Linked DNA regions of Arabidopsis thaliana. The protein of the gene in region 3 purifies or fractionates together with the protein of the main gene of each other region. This does not show direct contact. Each region holds a gene or a part of one and is shown on either strand. Other genes may lie near its edges. The genes, in order: AT4G14320, AT3G23390 and BCE2.

Evidence for each region.
Region 1: the proteins of BCE2 (region 3) and AT4G14320 fractionate together in Arabidopsis thaliana (co-fractionation; one large-scale study listed by BioGRID). This does not show direct contact.
Region 2: the proteins of BCE2 (region 3) and AT3G23390 fractionate together in Arabidopsis thaliana (co-fractionation; one large-scale study listed by BioGRID). This does not show direct contact.

The regions. Positions count from the first base shown.
Region 1 is NC_003075.7:8,240,561-8,247,179, reverse strand, and holds AT4G14320 (Zinc-binding ribosomal protein family protein), read left to right. Parts: upstream 1-3,269; 5' UTR 3,270-3,374; coding exon 3,375-3,377; intron 3,378-3,948; coding exon 3,949-4,128; intron 4,129-4,277; coding exon 4,278-4,352; intron 4,353-4,436; coding exon 4,437-4,458; coding exon of another isoform or gene 4,459-4,496; exon of another isoform or gene 4,497-4,750; intron 4,751-5,154; coding exon 5,155-5,339; 3' UTR 5,340-5,448; downstream 5,449-6,619. Other genes in the region: AT4G14330 (P-loop containing nucleoside triphosphate hydrolases superfamily protein), read right to left, coding at 1-181, 275-1,612, 1,713-1,823, 1,913-2,020, 2,112-2,267, 2,344-2,952; AT4G14315 (uncharacterized protein), read right to left, coding at 6,007-6,186.
Region 2 is NC_003074.8:8,372,916-8,378,209, reverse strand, and holds AT3G23390 (Zinc-binding ribosomal protein family protein), read right to left. Parts: upstream 2,878-5,294; 5' UTR 2,784-2,877; coding exon 2,781-2,783; intron 2,564-2,780; coding exon 2,384-2,563; intron 2,206-2,383; coding exon 2,131-2,205; intron 2,046-2,130; coding exon 1,986-2,045; 3' UTR 1,774-1,985; downstream 1-1,773. Other genes in the region: FIB4 (Plastid-lipid associated protein PAP / fibrillin family protein), read left to right, coding at 1-260, 418-654, 1,143-1,269, 1,360-1,574; RIC5 (ROP-interactive CRIB motif-containing protein 5), read right to left, coding at 3,502-3,924, 4,012-4,112, 4,206-4,263.
Region 3 is NC_003074.8:2,156,624-2,163,794, forward strand, and holds BCE2 (2-oxoacid dehydrogenases acyltransferase family protein), read right to left. Parts: upstream 4,047-7,171; 5' UTR 3,968-4,046; exon of another isoform or gene 3,860-3,967; 5' UTR 3,843-3,859; coding exon 3,693-3,842; intron 3,446-3,692; coding exon 3,299-3,445; intron 3,205-3,298; coding exon 3,079-3,204; intron 2,878-3,078; coding exon 2,528-2,877; intron 2,444-2,527; coding exon 2,196-2,443; intron 2,102-2,195; coding exon 1,785-2,101; intron 1,703-1,784; coding exon 1,589-1,702; 3' UTR 1,308-1,588; downstream 1-1,307. Other genes in the region: AT3G06840 (uncharacterized protein), read left to right, coding at 307-393, 525-1,001; MFP2 (multifunctional protein 2), read left to right, coding at 5,303-5,405, 5,602-5,673, 5,781-5,846, 5,943-5,999, 6,093-6,160, 6,248-6,329, 6,532-6,587, 6,670-6,972 and 1 more. UniProt on the Arabidopsis thaliana protein: The branched-chain alpha-keto dehydrogenase complex catalyzes the overall conversion of alpha-keto acids to acyl-CoA and CO(2).

The DNA.
Region 1 (6,619 bases), on a different chromosome or scaffold from region 3:
TAACTTCCATCATGTTTTCTATGGGATTAAGTGGAAGTGGGCTTGCAGGTTGAAGACTTTTATGTTGTGAGCTCTTTCCTGGTCTCAAAGTGGCGAGGTATGCGTGTCCGTTGCAGAGAGGTAGGCTCGTAGCTTGAACTGTTGATTCTTTCTCCTTTGCCACTTGAGCTCCACATGGTTCCTTCATACATTGAAATAACTGCATTTAGGATCAGAGCATAACAAACAGATAAAAATGAAAAGCTTTTTGTGCTTGTTGGTTCAAGTTTATTACCCCGAGCTTGAGAAAGGTAAAAGCCTGATTATCAGATCCAAGGTAGATCTCAATAAGCTTCCTCAAGTCAGCTAGTGTTGCATCCTTTGTAACTCTCAGTGTTGTTATGAGCTTTCGAGGGTTATCAGCAGCTGTTTCCCATTTAACATAGATATCTAGCTGACCGTTTTCCCTTTGATCGACTGAGATATTGTTTTCCTTTGCTTCTTCTACTGCTAGTGCTTCGGCCTTATTCGTAATAGAAAAGAACTGATTGTCTTTCTTATCAGGTGATGCAATATTGGCTTGATCCTCCTCCTGTCCACTGTGTTGAGACAGCTCTCTCTGATTGCCACAAAGGGTGAAAATGTTTTGAATTCTCAACCTTCTAGACGAGGCTGATTCCTTGTCATCTGCACCGTTGAAGCAGTTCTCTTTACCCAAACCTTCAGAGTTCAAACTAGGCATTGGTGTTGTTATCAAGCAGATGCTTTTATCCTCGACTATCACTTTTTCTTCCTCTTCTTCAACTTCTTCTTCTTCAAAGACAGTGCTCAAGCATACCCGGTCAGGATACATCTGTGTAAGCATATTCTCTGAAGGCTTCGGTTGCAAAAGGTTAGTGAAGTTGCTACTAATAGTGTTGCTTGATTGGTGTGAAACAGCTCCCCACACTTGCTTGACAGGTTCTGGATCACCCATGTCAAGGTCCATTGACTTCACCATACCAGGATCATCATCAGAGTAAAGACTCCTGAGTCTTTTGGCAAACCCACTAGTTTCATCAACACTTCCTCCATTTGAGCGGCGGAACTCAACCTCGATTTCCTCTAACCGTCTCCTCATCATCTCCAGTTCCTCTTGCTGCTGAACTATCCTTTCCTCCATTCTCCTTCTCTCCATCTCAACAAATTCCTCAGCCATTCTTCGGCATTCTTCAAGTTTCTTATCTAGTTCCGACTTCAAAAGCTGGGTTCTCTCGTTTACTTTCTCTTTTATCTCCTCTTCATTGGTAGCACAAGCTTCCCTCTGTGTTAAAAGAGATCTTAAAGCAGCAACTTCCTCTTCCTTCTTCTTCAGCTGCTTTTGTGCCTCATTCCTTTCTTTTTCTTTTTGCTTCTTCTCAGACTGGAGTTTGATAATGAACTCATCCATGGCAGCTATTCTTGATCCCAAAATCACAGCAGAAGCAGACTCATCACCCCCATACTTATCTTTGTTTGGAGTATGAGACCCACGAACTATGCACTTTGCTTTTGCCCCATACTCTAGAGTACAGAGAGTCTTGTGCATTTCCTTTGGATCCGGGCTCGCACACAGGATCATTAGAATCTTTGACTTGTCATCTTCAAAAGAGTCCTGCATTCAGAGAATAGAAACAACACTAAATATCTTCAAGAAAACCAAGCAACACGTAAAACATTTTCCAGAAGATAAAACAATGGAACAAGAATTTCACCTGGAGAAGCATGGTCAGCTTGCTGTCTCTAAAGGGTACATGAGAATCTCCATTTGCTATAGATTCCACAACTCGCTTCAGTGCAATATTTCCCTGGTTGATCTTAGCAGTCTGTTGAATAATGAGAGATATAAGTCAGTTGATATCCATAACTACAATAACTTTAGTAGAATCAAACAAATTGAGAGAGGAAACATTACTTGCATCTTAGCTTCAAATCCAGTCTGCCCAGCTTGGTCTATATTTTCAGAACCAGCCATGTCAACAAGCATCAATCTTCCCCCAACAGTTGGCACATCAAGTATGATCTACAAAAAGAAACAACCACACTAGTAAGTTAAAACAGAGATAAGCTGCATAAAGCTATGCATACACATCAATCAAGAAGATCGTTCTTACAATGCAGTGACTCCGAGAACTTCTTTCGTTACAAAGTGTACTCTTCACAATTCTCCGTTTCTCCACTTTGACAATTTCTTTAGAAATCTTCCCAGCCTCTGTCCCAGAAATAAAACTTGCGTTTTTCGCCTTTTTCCCCATTACTTCAAGCCTCACCTGTAACAAAACAACAAAGTACACACCTTTAAAGCCAATTCAATGTATACTAAAGTTATCAATCAAGAAACTTTACCTTAGTGCTTGCTCCTTTAGGCCAACCAATACCTAAATTGTTACTACTATTAGTCGAAAGAAGATCATAAATCTCCTCATTATAAACCTCAAGAACAGTAACTTGAACAAAAGTAACACCATCTTGATCAGAATCTCCCAATATATCTCTCAAAGAACGATACACAATCCCAGGCTCTTTCCCACAACCAAACATAGTATGACTCTTTCCAGCACCAGTAGGTCCATACATCATAATCGTGCATTTATTCCCAACTTTCACTCCTTTAATCCTCTCTTCTATAAACTTCTTGTAGAACTCTTCAAGACCTTCTTGCTCCGAGAAAGAAACACCGTCGAGTGTGAAGTCTCTGTACCCAACATCAGCTCTGACTCGTACCGTTTGATTATCTGTGTTGACTTGTAAGATCGAAGGTGATTTCTCTTTCCGGTCAGGGTAATCTCGGATCCGGCCGATTACTTCAACTGGATGCTCCGGTGGAGATGGATCTTTAGATCCGTCTGGGTTTGGGGTTTTTGAGTGGAAATTGAGACGTTGTTTTGTTTGTGGAGTTCTGATTAAGGTGTATTGAGTTTGATTTGATCTTGAAGAAGATGGTGTCGGTGCCATTGTTGAAGAAGTTTCGAAAGAGTGAAATTGAAATTGAGATTCAGAGAGCGTTAGAGAGAGAGAAAATGAAAAAGGGGATTAGGGTTTGTGAGTGATTCACGAGGTTTGAAGTTTGAAACAAAGAAACAAACATAACCGTTGTGTTGTATCTCTAAACGGCTAGTTTTTGTCCACGGGCCACTGATTATTAACAATTTTTATTTTCGGCAACTAGAATATATTTACTTTCTTTTAAAAAAGGGAAGTGAGATGGGCCTGACTTTTTGATTAAGTTAATGGGCTTTTTGTGTTTATAGAGGCCCAATGTTTGTAGTATTAGGGTTTTCTCAAATGTCTCTCTTATAAGCTCTGTTACTTTAGGTTTTTATTAAAGGTTTTGCGGCAGTGGAAGACGACGGCACGAGCTTCACCGAAGAGCGAAAATGGTGACTCTCTTCTCTTTCTTTATTTCTGCTAAATTTCTCCTTGGTTACTATTGAAGAACGAGATTATTGATTATAGATCTGCTGTGTGATTTTTCTTCTTCTTTAAGTTGTTTATTTCTGATTTTGCATCTTAAATCGAGAATTATTAGAGTCTAATTGTGATTTTTAGAATCTGTTATGTTGCATTCTGTGTTGTAAATTCGAAGATTCAGTTCACTTCGTCTCTGTGAAGAGTTTTAGCTCCAATCTACCAGAGATTCAAAATGATATAGTGTTATGTATCTTCATTTGTGTTGCTGCAATTCTGTTCTGATTTTTAGGAGAATTAAGAAGGATTTGTACTTCAGGGACTTGTAGGATTCACAAAATGGTTATCAATATTGACTAGTTGAGTAGTCAGATCGTATGGTAGCAATTAATTCTGAATGATTTAGGAGAAGCAGGAAATTTTATTAACAAGTTTTAGGGTTTGTTCTGAAGGGCGTATTTAGATTCACTTCTATGATCGTAATTAATTCTGTATGCTGTTGAAACTGTATCTTGTGGTAGTTTTAAACTTGGTTTTCTGTAGGTGAACATTCCGAAAACTAAGAACACTTACTGCAAGAACAAGGAGTGCAAGAAGCATACCTTGCACAAGGTGACGCAGTATAAGAAAGGTAAAGATAGCCTTGCTGCCCAAGGAAAGCGTCGTTATGATCGTAAACAATCTGGTTATGGAGGTCAGACCAAGCCCGTCTTCCACAAGAAGGTATACTCGCTTTTCCTTGTCTTGATCTCTAATTACTGTCTTCTATGTGAGAACCAATTTAGGATTTCAGAATTGACTCTGTGAAATATGTCTTATAGGAATGATTTGTTAATTGGACCTTGCTCATTATTTGTCTTTCTTTGGAACAGGCTAAGACAACTAAGAAGATTGTGCTGAGGCTTCAATGCCAAAGCTGCAAGCATTTCTCGCAACGCCCGATTAAGGTAATGTCTGCGACATTCTTTACCTTTGTTAATCACTCTTTAGTCTCAGTTCTGTTTCTTACACTTTGTGTGTGGTTTTTGCAGAGGTGCAAGCACTTTGAGATCGGTGGAGACAAGAAGGGAAAGGGAACATCTCTCTTTTAAGTTGTTGTTTCATCTATCTACTTTTTTTTGTTTTGTTTGGTACCTGTCCTGCTTCAATACTGTGATATACTTTGAATCTACCAGAAATGGTCCTGGTTTTTAATTTAAATAGGACTTGGTCTTATGGATGTCTTTTAATTTGGTTAACCAATCTTTCTTCATTAGGCTGCCCTTGAGTATTCTCTATAACTTGCGACAAAGTAGACATAACACTCTTTAAGTTCTAAAAACCACTTTCTATTTTCGGATCTCGAAAAATCATTTATCGTTTTGTGCTGCAAATCAGTGTTATATATGAGCTTGGCAAATTAAAATGACATATACGTATAGAAATGAATTGATAATACTAAATATTATTTGTTTTCTTCTTTTAACTTCAGCCATACTAACTTTCACTAAATTTCTTAAGAGCATACAGAAGTTTCTCCTCGGTATATTGGTGGTTCTATATTCCCCGCAACGTGAATGGAAAATGAAGGTTCTATTTTGGCTATATGATAATCATGCCATTAGCTGACCCGAAACTAATGTGTTACAATAAAACCAAATTATATAAATAGAAGAACATGTTTCCTGGCTCCTTATTGCACAAAAGAGAACATGAACAACTCTTTTTATATTACCATGATAGTCCTATGTGTTTTGGCCTTTGTGTTAGTTTTAATTGAGAGCTGTGCGGGCAAAATGGTAGATGAGATGATATTCTCTTGTGTCTGCTGTGGTGGTCCTGGCTGCTGTGGTGATAGAGGAGAAGGACCTGTTGGTGGTGGTATTGACAATGAACCGGTGAATGTAGTAGTGGTGGTGGTGGAGCCAGGCAGCCAGCGGCGGAAGATGTGGTGACGGTCAAGGATGCTACTTCAGTTTTTCTTTTTTTACTTTATTATACTTAGATTCTGGTACTATATATATTATGGGTATAGATAATTTACACTAAAGTTTTATTTCCGTTATTTAAAATTCGTGTTTTATTTAATCTCTAATTTTCTGTTTCCAAGTCGAATTCCTCTGTACTAATTATACGGCCTTTTAATTTTACAATATGAATAGCCATTTTCTACTAACACATTCTTACCTTTTAGAGGTGTTAATTTTAAGGTAAGTTTCTTCTCTACAATTACGTAATATCATTCAAATCTGTTCATGCTGACAAAAGTTAGGTACTTTTGTGTATATTTCTCGATCATTGACATTGTCTACTACGCTAATATCTAAGGAAAGTGGCATCGATTCTACTTGCTTGTAAAACATACATCGCGATGTAAGTCAAATTCTCTAATAATGTAAGAAACGAAGTGAGAAAGAAAGATAAATCCAAAAAATTTACTTGCAAATCAATAGAGATCCAAACCAACTGCGCATGCGTTAGTCAATTGATATATTGTATATAATAGAACAAATACAATTTTTGTTTTTATAAATGTATAACCAAAAACGTAAGAGCAATACTATCGAAATAAATACGTACTGCATATTACACGATAATAATAGAAAGAGATTTGATGTTTGATCACTTGGAAGTAAAATGGAGATAGAGAAACACAAAGAGCAATACGACCGGAAACATCAAGATCATTGGAAGAGATGGTGCAGTCACCGGTCCCATCATCAACGGAACAAACAGTAACATTAGTGCAACGACAACAATCGCCAAAACCGAACCCATCCCGAATCCATACTCATTCGCCATTTTCGTCTACTTTTCGATAGGAGTAGTGATCAATTCTGTGTTAGTGTCTCTAATTGGAGAAGTTATATATACACAGATTCAGACATCAAATCTACGGTTGTGTCGTTTCCCCGAGAAGTAGAAGACAACGTTTCGTGTACTAATGCATGAAACACAAAAACTGGCGAGACCTTTCACGTTAATAACCACCTCAAAACGCTGCGTTTCGGTTTATTTGTTGCTGCCACGTGTTTTAAAAACAGCATACCCTAAACGCATCGTTTCGTGTCGCAATCAACTATTCAACTGTTACTGTATATTTTATTAAAAACGCAGCGTTTTAGTTAACAAAATTCGTGTCGCTATTTCTACACTGCCACGTGTTTCAAAATGTCGCGTTCTGCATTTGTTGCTATCACGTGTTTAATAAATTTACCTAAACGCTGCGTTTCGT
Region 2 (5,294 bases), 6.2 Mb from region 3:
CTTTCTCGTCACTACTACCTTCACCACCAGCTCTTCTTTCCGACCACCGTTCTCCTCCACCATCCATCAGATACTCCTTTTCTCCCTTAACTACTCCAAAATCGTCTCGTTTGGGTTTCACTGTACCGGAGAAGAGAAACCTCGCTGCTAATTCGTCTCTCGTTGAAGTATCCATTGGCGGAGAAAGTGACCCACCACCATCATCATCTGGATCAGGAGGAGACGACAAGCAAATTGCATTACTCAAACTCAAATTACTTGTGAGTCTGATTCAAACCAATCGGTGAAATTATAAGAAATTGGTTTCGTTTCTTTGGAATTAGGGTTTATATTACTGTTAAGATTCGATTATAGAGTGAATTTTGGGAAGATTTTTCAGATTTGATTTGTGATGTGTTGTGTTGTGAGAAATTGCAGAGTGTAGTTTCGGGATTAAACAGAGGACTTGTGGCGAGTGTTGATGATTTAGAAAGAGCTGAAGTGGCTGCTAAAGAACTTGAAACTGCTGGGGGACCGGTTGATTTAACCGATGATCTTGATAAGCTTCAAGGGAAATGGAGGCTGTTGTATAGTAGTGCGTTCTCTTCTCGGTCTTTAGGTGGTAGCCGTCCTGGTCTACCTACTGGACGTTTGATCCCTGTTACTCTTGGCCAGGTAATTCTTGAATCATTGCTCTGTTTTTACCCGTCAAGATTCGGTTTTTCGGGTAAGTTGTTGAGGAGTTTATGTGCATGGTCTAGTCTATCATCAATAGTCTTGCTTGAGTTTGAATGGGGCTGAGCTAAGAATCTAGCTTTCTGAGGTTACAATTTGGTAATGTCATCTTATACTCGAAAGCAAACTTTTTTCTATATTGTCAAGTTTATGTGTACGGTCTGGTCTATCATTGGTAGTCTTTGTTGAGCTTGAATGGTGAGGAGCTTAGAATCTAGCAATGTCATCTACTCCTTAATCATTTTTTTCTATATTGCCAAGTTTATGTGTACGGTCTTAGTCAATCATCTTTATTCTTGGTTGAGTTTGAATGGTGATGAGCTTAGAATCTAGCTTTCTTTGGTTTAAATTTGGCAAAGAACCATACCTGAATCGGTAGAAAGCAAACTTCTTTAATATTATCTCTTGTTTCTGAATCATTAAAACAGGTGTTTCAACGGATTGATGTGTTTAGCAAAGATTTTGATAACATAGCAGAGGTGGAATTAGGAGCCCCTTGGCCATTTCCGCCATTAGAAGCCACTGCGACATTGGCACACAAGTTTGAACTCTTAGGTTTGCATTTCCCTTTCTCTCATTAAGTTTATCGAATTGTGTAAGAGCAAAATAACTTATCTGTATCTTTGACATTTATGGGGAAAACAGGCACTTGCAAGATCAAGATAACATTTGAGAAAACAACTGTGAAGACATCGGGAAACTTGTCGCAGATTCCTCCGTTTGATATCCCGAGGCTTCCCGACAGTTTCAGACCATCGTCAAACCCTGGAACTGGGGATTTCGAAGTTACCTATGTTGATGATACCATGCGCATAACTCGCGGGGACAGAGGTGAACTTAGGGTATTCGTCATTGCTTAATTCTCAAAGCTTTGACATGTAAAGATAAATAAATACTTTCTGCTTGATGCAGTCTCATGAGTTTTGTACAAATCATGTGAACATATAAATGCGCTTTATAAGTAAATGAGTGTCTTGTTCAATGAATCATATGAAAGAATTTGTATGACTCAGAAAATTGGACAATGATATAGACCTTCCAAATTTTGCACCCTCTAATGTGAGATATTAGTGATTTTTTCTTAGGTTGGTAGAGAGAACGGATTGGCAAAAAAATATCGAAGGTCAATGATTAACAGCAAAACCATATCTTGATGATTCAAAATATAGAGTTAACAAGCAAAGATGAGACAATCTTATACGAGAGAGCTAAAACAAATGGATTCCAAATCCAGCAAGTACAAAAATCGCAGAAAATAAGATGAAACCAACTTAAAACAGAGATGTTCCCTTTCCCTTCTTGTCACCACCGATCTCGAAATGCTTGCACCTCTGAAATAAACAACAAACCAACACAATGTAAGCAAATTACCAAGTTACAAATCCGGTATAATGAACTGATCTATGTTCTATGCACCTTGATAGGACGCTGCGAAAAGTGCTTGCAGCTTTGACACTGAAGCCTCAAAACAATCTTCTTCGTGGTCTTAGCCTGTTAACAAGATTCACAAGATGTATCTCAGTCCAAAACTGAGACTATTGGAATGTCTGTTTCCTCACAGCTCACTTCCAAAATTCTACTATAAATGGTTCCTTAAAACTACCTCATTTCAACTAACTAGACCTAATTCAAACTGAAAAAACAATCAATGCATGATAATCAATGTTACCTTTTTGTGGAAGACAGGCTTAGTCTGACCACCATAACCAGATTGTTTACGGTCATAACGACGCTTTCCTTGAGCAGCAAGACTGTCTTTACCCTTCTTGTATTGGGTAACCTTGTGCAAAGTATGCTTTTTGCATTCCTTGTTCTTACAGTAAGTGTTCTTTGTCTTTGGAATGTTCACCTTCAAAATTCATAAAATCAAAAATGAATCACTCACACACATACAAAATCAAGAGACTTTTAAGGTTAATCAAAATACAAACATCATTTAGATTGAAAACTTTTATGATAGATCTGAAAAACAATACAATAAATCAATCAACCATGTATTGTTGTTCTTCAAAGTCAACGAACTTTACAAATTCCAAAATCACATCGAAAGAGAAGAAACAATTTACCATTTTCGCGTCTCTGATCTCCGGTGAAGCTTTTGTGCCGTCGTCGTTCCACTAGACGAAGTTGTTTAAAGAAGAAGAATTTATAGTACACTTTCTGAAAACCCTAATCTGACTTTGGGCCTTAGGTTTAACTAATAAGGCCCATATATAGTATAAGGATTGGTCATAAACAATGGGCCCATCTGTATGTCAAAGTCCTTTATGAGTTTTTGTTTCCTATTGATTTTTTTGCTTTTTGAATTAAATCGTCAAGACCCTGGAACTAAAGTTGAAGTGATCAAATGAAATCAAAAGCATCAAAAACAAAATTCAGTAGAAAAAAATGATTTACTTTTAAGTTTTGGTTTCGTTTGAACCAAGAAATAAAAACCTATTATAACATGTAAACGCAACAAACAATCGAAGCCCAATAGATATGTCAAACACACTCAAGTCTATTACTAATTGAATCCTAAGAACACAATCGAAAGATTCCTTGAGAATAATTTAAGAGTGTTAAGCAAGCATATATTTCACATCCCTGGTTCACAATCATCAAAGGGTTCTCTTTTCTCGACGCGATATAAAACATTGGTCTTGTAATGCAAAGGCATTTCCAACAAAAGGGAGAGAAAAGACTAAAGTGTGTAGATCAATCATGAGAAGAAACAATACCACCACCACCACCACACTCTAGTCTAATCTTGAAAATATAACACTCTCTTTCTTTGTTCCTCATCTTTCATCTTCCTGTAGAACTTCCAAGACCCGCACAAGGGTAAACCGCTCTCACAGATATATCTGTTTCTTTCTTGTTTGATGGTTCATTAGATGGAGGAGGTTCGCCTCCTCCTGTTGCTGATCCTTTTGACTTTTTTTGCTTTGATTGTTTTGGTACAACAAACTGATCAGTCTGTTGAGGTAACTCTAATCCTGAACCTGACTCTGACCCTGAACCCGTGTTCTGCTCTCTTTGTTTCCCCGTGTTGCGTTTTGATGGCCTTACTGATCCTCCTACCCTTGATGGAGATTCTGTAGGTGAGTTGTTTCCTGTTGATGTTTTACGTCTTCCCTTCCTATGTTTCTCCCCGGAACTCCCAGGTTTTTTGTTAGATGTTCCTTTCGTCTCAGTCTTCGTTTGATCGGTAGGCTTGAAATCATGCATCTGCATATTCCCATGAAAATATTTGACCTAATCCACAAACAAAAGATATGTAGAATATGTTATAAAAATATTGAGAGAAGGATATACCCAGCTTGGGGTGGTAGCTGAGGGCCCTTCCCATCCTATATGAGCAACATGTTTGACATCGGTTGGTATTCCAATCTGCATCTCTGGTTCCTTCTCATCCTCTACAACAATTTTTTTTTATAAGATTTAAGAATCTGATTTTTGGTAATTGTATAGACATATATGATCTTTGTTTCGAGAACAAATAAACTCACCGAAGATACGAGCAATGTACCTCAAACCTTTTAATAGACCCTTCATAGGTGAGGTCATATTCAACTTGCAGATGCATACCTAGCTTGCACACCAAGGAAAAAAAATAAACATTTTTTCATAAATTAATATTTTTTCTTTGAGATTCTTCTTCTCTTAGGGATACAACTTTCGGTAATGCATAGATTGGCCAAAGAATTAAATTGTTTTTGCGTGAATCCTATTGCGATAAGAATCTTAAGAAAAATAAAAAAGAACTTACATGTTTGTGGAGTAGATAAAACCCTATTTAACAAAGAAATAGATTCATATAGATGTCCAAGAGCTATGAGTTTCTGCAAATTTGAGAGGAATATATAAACAAACGATAAGATAAAAAACACACACATCTATTTCTGTTTGGAGAAGAAGAAAATGATACCTGGTTAAGAAAACTACACAAAATGTTACTATCTTCAAATCAAAAAGTTTTTTTCTCAAACTTATTTGTGTTGTTATCTTGTTTCTTGTTTTGTTTAAGAGAGAGGTAACGTAAGAAGAAAGAAATCTCAAATGTTGTCCTCTTTGTTCGATCACAAAGGCTCTCTTTTTTTCTTGCCTATTTCTTTTTTACATATGCATAAAAGCTACGTGGCGGATGATTATTGGATGTAGAAGTTGGAAGTCAAAGGATAGCCAGAAGATTTTCCCTTATTTGGTGGTTTCAATGCAATTTCTTCAATTCTATTTTAAGCTGATTTTGAGTCGTTTTTTTTCTGGCAAACGCGGGATATACGGTTTTTTTGTTTAGGGAAAGCCAAAAGTAAATCTCTAATCATCTTATTGAGCAAAATAGTTTGCATATACAGTAACCACTATGTATAATGTATATATATCTTAAATATATAGTTGGGTAATTTACTTTATTTCTTAATTATAAATTATATGATTATATCTACATAATTTGCAGGACTAGTTTTTATTGTAGTCAACAACTTCCCAAATAAGATGTTTTGCTTCACACATCGGTTGGTGTCGTTTTTTCCTTGGAGAACTTAACGCCGAGCAACTTAAGGAAACTAAACACAATCACCCCGAGGACCAGTGCAATG
Region 3 (7,171 bases):
TTTTTCTTTTTTGTGGTATGAAATGTAAAGACGAATGATAAAATTGTAATGACTAAAAAAGGAATTGAAAAGGAGATGAATTATCATGTATGGGCCATTTATAAAAGTAAAAAAAAAAAAAAAACTTAGAAAAATACGGGTTGTTTGAAAATGACAGAATAGACGACTCTCGTTGCATTGAATTTGAGTGAACCCCACACTCTCTTTCAAGTCTCAACGGCCATCTCCATTCTCTTCTATCTCTTCTTCACAAAACTCTTTCACCCATTTTTCCTCCATTAAACAACAAACGACCTCGTAAGAAAAATGTCAAACATTTCCCCAATCTTCTCCATCTCCAACTCTCAACATTTCAGCGACTATGGCTTCGATCCCCAACTCCACTACTTTCAGGTATGTTTACGTTTTTGCTAATGTTTTGTTTCGTTTCAAATCAACAAAACTCAAATCCAATGGATCTGGCTCTGCATTTGCATTCTGTTTTTGAGTAATTTTGGCTCTGTTTCTGATGTCTTAATGGAAAGGTTATGGAAGAAGCGAGGAAGCATAAGAGAGAAACGTCATCAAAATCATACACGAACGGTCTTCAATTCAAGATCCAGAAACCCATTTCAAAAGACAACCCGACCCGGTCCACAATGCACAACGACAAGAAGAAGAAACGGTGTTGGTGGAAGAAAGCTCTCCCTTTTTTCAAATGGCGGAAATGGCCAATCTCCACCGTCGGCGTGAACGAAGATCGTAGGGTCAGGAACTTTCGCTCCGTAACCGGGTCCATGTCAATGTCGGGTCCGATTTACGCAACGGAGAGTCTAATAAGTGGGTCGAACACACCGTATCGTACAACAACGAGTAAACCTTCGTCGGGACCTATAGCGGGAACATTGACGCCGGCGAGGAAAGGTGACGTGGCGATTCCTTATCTGAGCTTACGAGAGCTTAACATGGAGCAGCCACAGAGGATTTCTATCTCTTCTTCCCCAATTTACTTGGTCACGTAAAAAGTTAACAACTCCTTACAAAAAGAACAATTTAACTTTTCTTTTTGGTCGGGGAAAAATATTCAATAGAAAAATGTGATGTTTCATCTATCTTTTCAAAATTTGGTGAAAGCTGCAAAGTTTCATCTATCTCACGTGAATCAATTTAGTTGCCTCTTTTTATAGATAATAGATACATGCATGCTTGTATTTAACAACTTCTGAATAATCATTATTTGGATTTTTCAAGTCGTGATGGTCGAAAGTGACTGGAACCGGTAAGAGTGGATATTCCTTTGTCTTGCACGACTCCTTTATTATTAATGTCTTGAAAAGAGACGTTAGTCCTTAGTACACAGATACGAATGTTGATCCTTTTAAGAAATTAACGTGTCGTCTTCATAAATACATTTTCATTATTTACAAAACGTTCCGTGTTAAGACTTATGAGGTTAGCTAGTGTTCATATGTTGCAGTTTTGTGTTGAGTTATTAGATATGACTTTTACTTTCTTGTTTAGTTTACAACTGCTAGCTCAGTTCTTGATCTTATTCGAACATGAAGGTTTCATACATAATGATTCACAAATAAACATGAACCTTTCCTTCTTATCTCATTTGAAGCATCAGCAGCTCCGGTTTCTCGACATACTCTTTCCACTGGCAGCAAAACCGAGCTACCGTTGCCCCATCTAGAACTCTATGATCCGCAGCAATGTTAACCTGAGTCAAAATAATCAGACCTTGGTTATTAACAACAATTCTTGTAACTAAGAAGAAATGAATGAACAAGAATAGCTTTTACCATCATTATCGATGCAGGATAGACAGTTCCTTCTTTTGAGAATTTTGGAACTTTCTCGATTCTTCCAAGAGCGATGATTGCAACTTCCGGTAAGTTTAAAAGAGGGGATCCGAATTTACCACCAATTGCTCCAATGTTACTCAGAGTTATGGTTCCACCAGTCACATCCTCGGGGTTAAGTTTGTTGTTTGCTGCCAAATGTTGTAACCGGGACAGCTCTTTGGTTATCTCTAGCAGAGATAATGACTGAACATTCTTTATATTAGGAACGACAAGGCCATGTTCAGTGGCCATTGCAACTCCAATATTATGTGAACCTGCAAGTAACCAAGAATATATCTATATCTAATAATCCAAGGATGTTAACCTCAAAACCAAAACAACAATGAGAAGTTCCTAGAAAAAAAATACCTTTGAGAATGATCTCGAGAGATTCCGCGTTGAAGCAACTATTCACGAAGGGATATTTGGTTAGAGCCATTGACAGAGACTTGATTAAAGTAGGAAGAAAAGTGTGTTTGATGGTGGAATCTGTATTGTTCTCTTTGAAGAACTGCTTGAGCTCCACAAGTGAGTCGCAGTTTATCTCTTCAACAAAATGAAAATGCGGTACACTTGTAGCCATAGTCATTGTCTTGACCATTGCTCGGCTGAATCCCCTGAGAATAAGGATATAGCTTCAGGTGGTTAATTCAGATACAAGATGGGTTCATGTACAATGCAAATTGCCAACAAAGGCGTACCTTAGAGGAACTGTTTTATCTTCAAAGTTACTACTAGCTTTAGTGGAAACCGAGTCTCCTCCTATAACAGCATGCTCAGAAGAAACTGAATCTGTTACAAATCCTTTCTGGTCACTAAACCGGAGAACATCCTCTTTCAAAACTCTACCATCTTTACCAGTTCCAGTTATAACATTGATATCTATGCCAAGGTCTTTTGCAAGGTTACGAACCGCAGGCGTTGAGAGAGCTCCAAGAAGATTTTCTGTTCCCTGCTTTGAACCTCCCAGAGTTACAATTTCTGAACTATCAGTGGTTAGAAGCGAATCCTGCGAGTCTTCAACCGCCAACCTAACCAGAGTCTCTCCAACCTTGCATCAATAGATTTTGCCACATATAAGTACTTATAAAAGTGAAACATTTGATACCTGATCTATCAGAACCTTTAAACATATATATATAGATAACACAAAAGCTTAACATGTCAAAATCTCTTAGTGTTCATGGTTTACAATAGAGTAACATGCTCAAACTTAGCCTCTAACACCATAAAGAAAGAAAATGTATCTAACCTTAATAATGTCACCTGGAGAATGTGAAATCAGAGCCACTTTCCCTTTAAAACGACTTGTGATCTCTATAGTTGCTTTATCGCTCTGAACTTCACAGAGTGGCTGAAACTCTTCCACAGAATCTCCCTGCAAAAGGAAAAACACCAAAATGTCTATATCATAACGAAACGAAACAGAACAATTGAAAAAAAGAAACTTTGAGCGGAGAAACCAAAGAGACCTCTTTGACAAACCACTTGAGAAGCTCACATTCAGCAATACCTTCCCCAGTTTGAGCTAGTGGCACATCAATTAACCCTGAATTTGAATCAGTGGCCATGGCTTCGTTCGAAAACCAGCTTCTACTTCCTCCACCCCATTTCATCAACTGTGAAAAATATGACAAACTTGTTTGATCCTTTGTCCAAAAATTACCAGAAAAACCACACATTCTAAGCAAACAGAGTTTTCCAAGTTTAAGTCTCTCTGATAAATTTATTTTCTTTCTAAATTTATACAGTTTCGATGTTTCTTTTTCCGCCTAGAAGAGCTTCTCGGAAGCTAATGTCATGCCTCAAAATTAATTTGAAAAAAAAAACTGAAAAAGGAAGGAAATTTGGTGAGAAGAAACATACAGTGGGAGGGTGAACAAAGAATGGGCGCGACGCCGGAGAGGAAGACGACTGAGAAAGATACTCCGGTACCCGGAACGGCGGAGAGCAAACAGATGACGAGCTGAATGGGCGGAGAAACCGGTGGCTTCGCCAGATCCGTCGCGCGATCATTGTTATGAACGGTTGGTCTTTGGTAAAAAACAAAAAACAGTACAAGGGAGAAGAAATAGACAAACAGATTGAGTTGATGGAAGATGTTTCTAAGAAGAGAGCTTAAAAAGATAAATGTTACGTACCCGTGTGTTTGTTTCTGTTCGAGTATCCGGATTAAGACTAAGGTACTGATTAGTATTAATAACTATTTGGATTAGTACCAAAAGAAAAAGAGAAAAAAAACTATCGGATTGGCTTATCTATGCCACATCAGCAATATCACGGAGAGGATCAACGGTACACGCGTATCCTCATGTACATCACTTTTTTTTTTTCCTTCAGATGGTGGGCTATATATATCGACTTCAAAAAAAGCCTTTTACAAGCAGATCCACTAAAGCCGAAAAGAAAAATGCCAAAAGGCCAGACTTACAAAGTGGACACACTTTTCTCATAGACAGAATTCATTAAAGCAAGAAAGATAACCTTAACCAACATAAGATTGCACTTGATTATTCTTTGTTACACTTTGAAGTTTGAACAATTAAAAATGAACAAACAAGTTAGAGATGTGAATGTGAGGCTACTTCCAAAATACAATCTATTTCATCACTAAACGCCTAACATTATCTTTGGAAAGTGAGCTACCTACCAACCCAAAATTACATCTAACTTACGTCTTTTGTCTTTTGAGTTTTGCCAACCGTCTTTGATCTTGGAAGATATTCGTTTACGTCCTTTAAGTTTTAAGCAAATCCATCATTGTTAGTGAAGTCTTAAGTTTTAGACGTTTTATTACTGTTATGGTTAACTGTATGAAAGTTGATACTTAGTCATGTGAAAAGATATTTCACCGGACCATAAATAGAGAGAATAAAAAACAAGTTATGGTTTGAATACTTGTCTAAAACTATTGATTGCATTTACATTTGTTTTTTAATCTGATTAAACAAAAAACGGATGTCATGGTAGAATTAACATATATTACAAGATATAATATTCAGCATGATCGATTATATGTCATAAATAAATCGCAAAAAAAAAAAACTAATAATGTTAAAAAAAAAAAGAGATACTCTTTCTAGTAAAGTTTATTTACAACTGTAAAATCCTATATAGGGTCGCTTAGTTACAAATCCGTAGTATCAAGATAAGATCCGCCAAGTTTGGTAGTCGCAGGACTATGACCAGCCAAACATATTTATTAGTAATAAATCCGCAGAGTTTAAATGCAAATATTTTGTTCCTAATTCGTGATTAATTCAACTTATACATAAATTGGATACGAATAACAAATAAAAATTCACATATCGAAAACATTATCAAAGTACCGTTGCTTTGAGGAGTGTGCCACTCTACCATATTATCACTGACGTCATCATCTTTTGCAATTATATAATCATCTGATTTCTCACGTCTCCTCTCTTTTTCATTAATTCCGAAAATTTTGACTCGCAAAATCTCAACGAAGCTCGAAAATGGATTCACGAACCAAGGGGAAGACGGTGATGGAAGTTGGTGGCGATGGCGTTGCCGTCATAACACTCATCAATCCTCCCGTCAATTCTCTATCCTTCGACGGTACGTACTCTCAGATTCATTTTATTTTTATGATCCGGAATTTACTGGATTTTACCTCTTCAGATTTAGGTCAATTTCGCTTCGTGATTTGGTTTTGTAAATATCGCCGATTGTAATTGAGCTTCCGATCGAATTTATGATCTGTTTATGTGAATTTTCTTTGTATGTGACTCTGTTTTTGGATATTTGTGTACAGTGCTATACAATCTCAAAAGTAATTACGAGGAGGCCTTGAGCAGGAATGATGTTAAAGCTATTGTTATTACTGGTATTTCTGGAGATCATTCTCTTCCTCGCTAAAAACACAACATTTTTTATGAAAACTTTGGAGATGATCTGGTAATGGCTTTTGTGTTCCTTTTTATTTAACTACAGGTGCAAAGGGGAGGTTCTCTGGTGGCTTTGATATATCTGGTTTTGGTGAAATGCAGAAGGGGAATGGTATGTTTCTGTCTCTTTTGTATCTTTGGTTATTGAATCAGTGTGGTATGTGTTGATCTAGTTAGTAACGTATACTGGTGTTATGAATTTTCTCAGTCAAAGAGCCAAAGGCTGGTTACATTTCGATTGACATCATAACCGACTTGCTTGAAGGTGATCTTTCTACTTAAACCCACTTTATTTGATTTATGGAATACTTGTGTAAGTTGTGTTGCTGAGGGATTTGATTTCTTTCCTTGGATTTAGCTGCTAGGAAACCGTCTGTCGCTGCCATTGATGGACTTGCCTTGGGAGGAGGATTAGAACTTGCTATGGTATGAGTTTCTATGTTATTTATTACCTTCACGAGAAATCCTTTTGAGGAGGAAGGATGGTGATACAGTTGTATGGTTTGTTTCCAGGCTTGTCATGCTAGGATATCAGCTCCTGCTGCACAGTTAGGCTTGCCTGAGCTGCAACTTGGTGTTATTCCTGGTTTTGGAGGTATCTATTCAACTTCGCTGACTGTGAAGTCCTTGAATTCTCTGATCAATATATGGTTTAAAACTCGTGGAGAAGTCAAGGCATTCTCAATGCATAATACTGAGCTGAGGATGGGAAGAGGATCTTCGTTTCATTTTTTTTGTTGAATGAGTCAAGTCACTTTCGTTTATAATGCTAATTATACTCCTTTGGATTGATGTAGGAACGCAGCGTCTCCCGCGTCTTGTTGGTCTCACCAAAGCCCTTGAAATGATTTTGGTATGTCAGTGCCTTATTCTTATGGTAGCATTAGCGTGCCTTGGTTAAAGTGTAATAGCATCTCTTTTGTTGAAACATATAGACATCTAAGCCAGTTAAAGCTGAGGAAGGTCATTCTTTGGGTCTTATTGATGCTGTGGTGCCACCTGCGGAGTTAGTAACCACTGCTCGTCGCTGGGCCCTTGACATAGTCGGGAGGAGAAAACCATGGGTATCTAGTGTTTCCAAGACTGATAAGTTACCTCCTCTTGGAGAGGCAAGGGAGATACTGACGTTTGCCAAGGCACAGACACTCAAGCGTGCCCCCAATATGAAACACCCTTTAATGTGCCTTGACGCTATTGAAGTAGGTATTGTTTCTGGTCCAAGGGCTGGTTTAGAAAAGGTATGATACCTATCTTTCTTCGCTTCATAGTATGTCAGTTCTTTAACCTTTTCTCCCCGACTAATGATCAATATGAATTTCCACCACATTGTTACTTACAGGAAGCTGAAGTCGCCTCACAAGTGGTAAAACTGGATACCACCAAAGGCTTGATCCACGTCTTCTTTTCTCAGCGAGGAACTGCTAAGGTCTGTGAGTC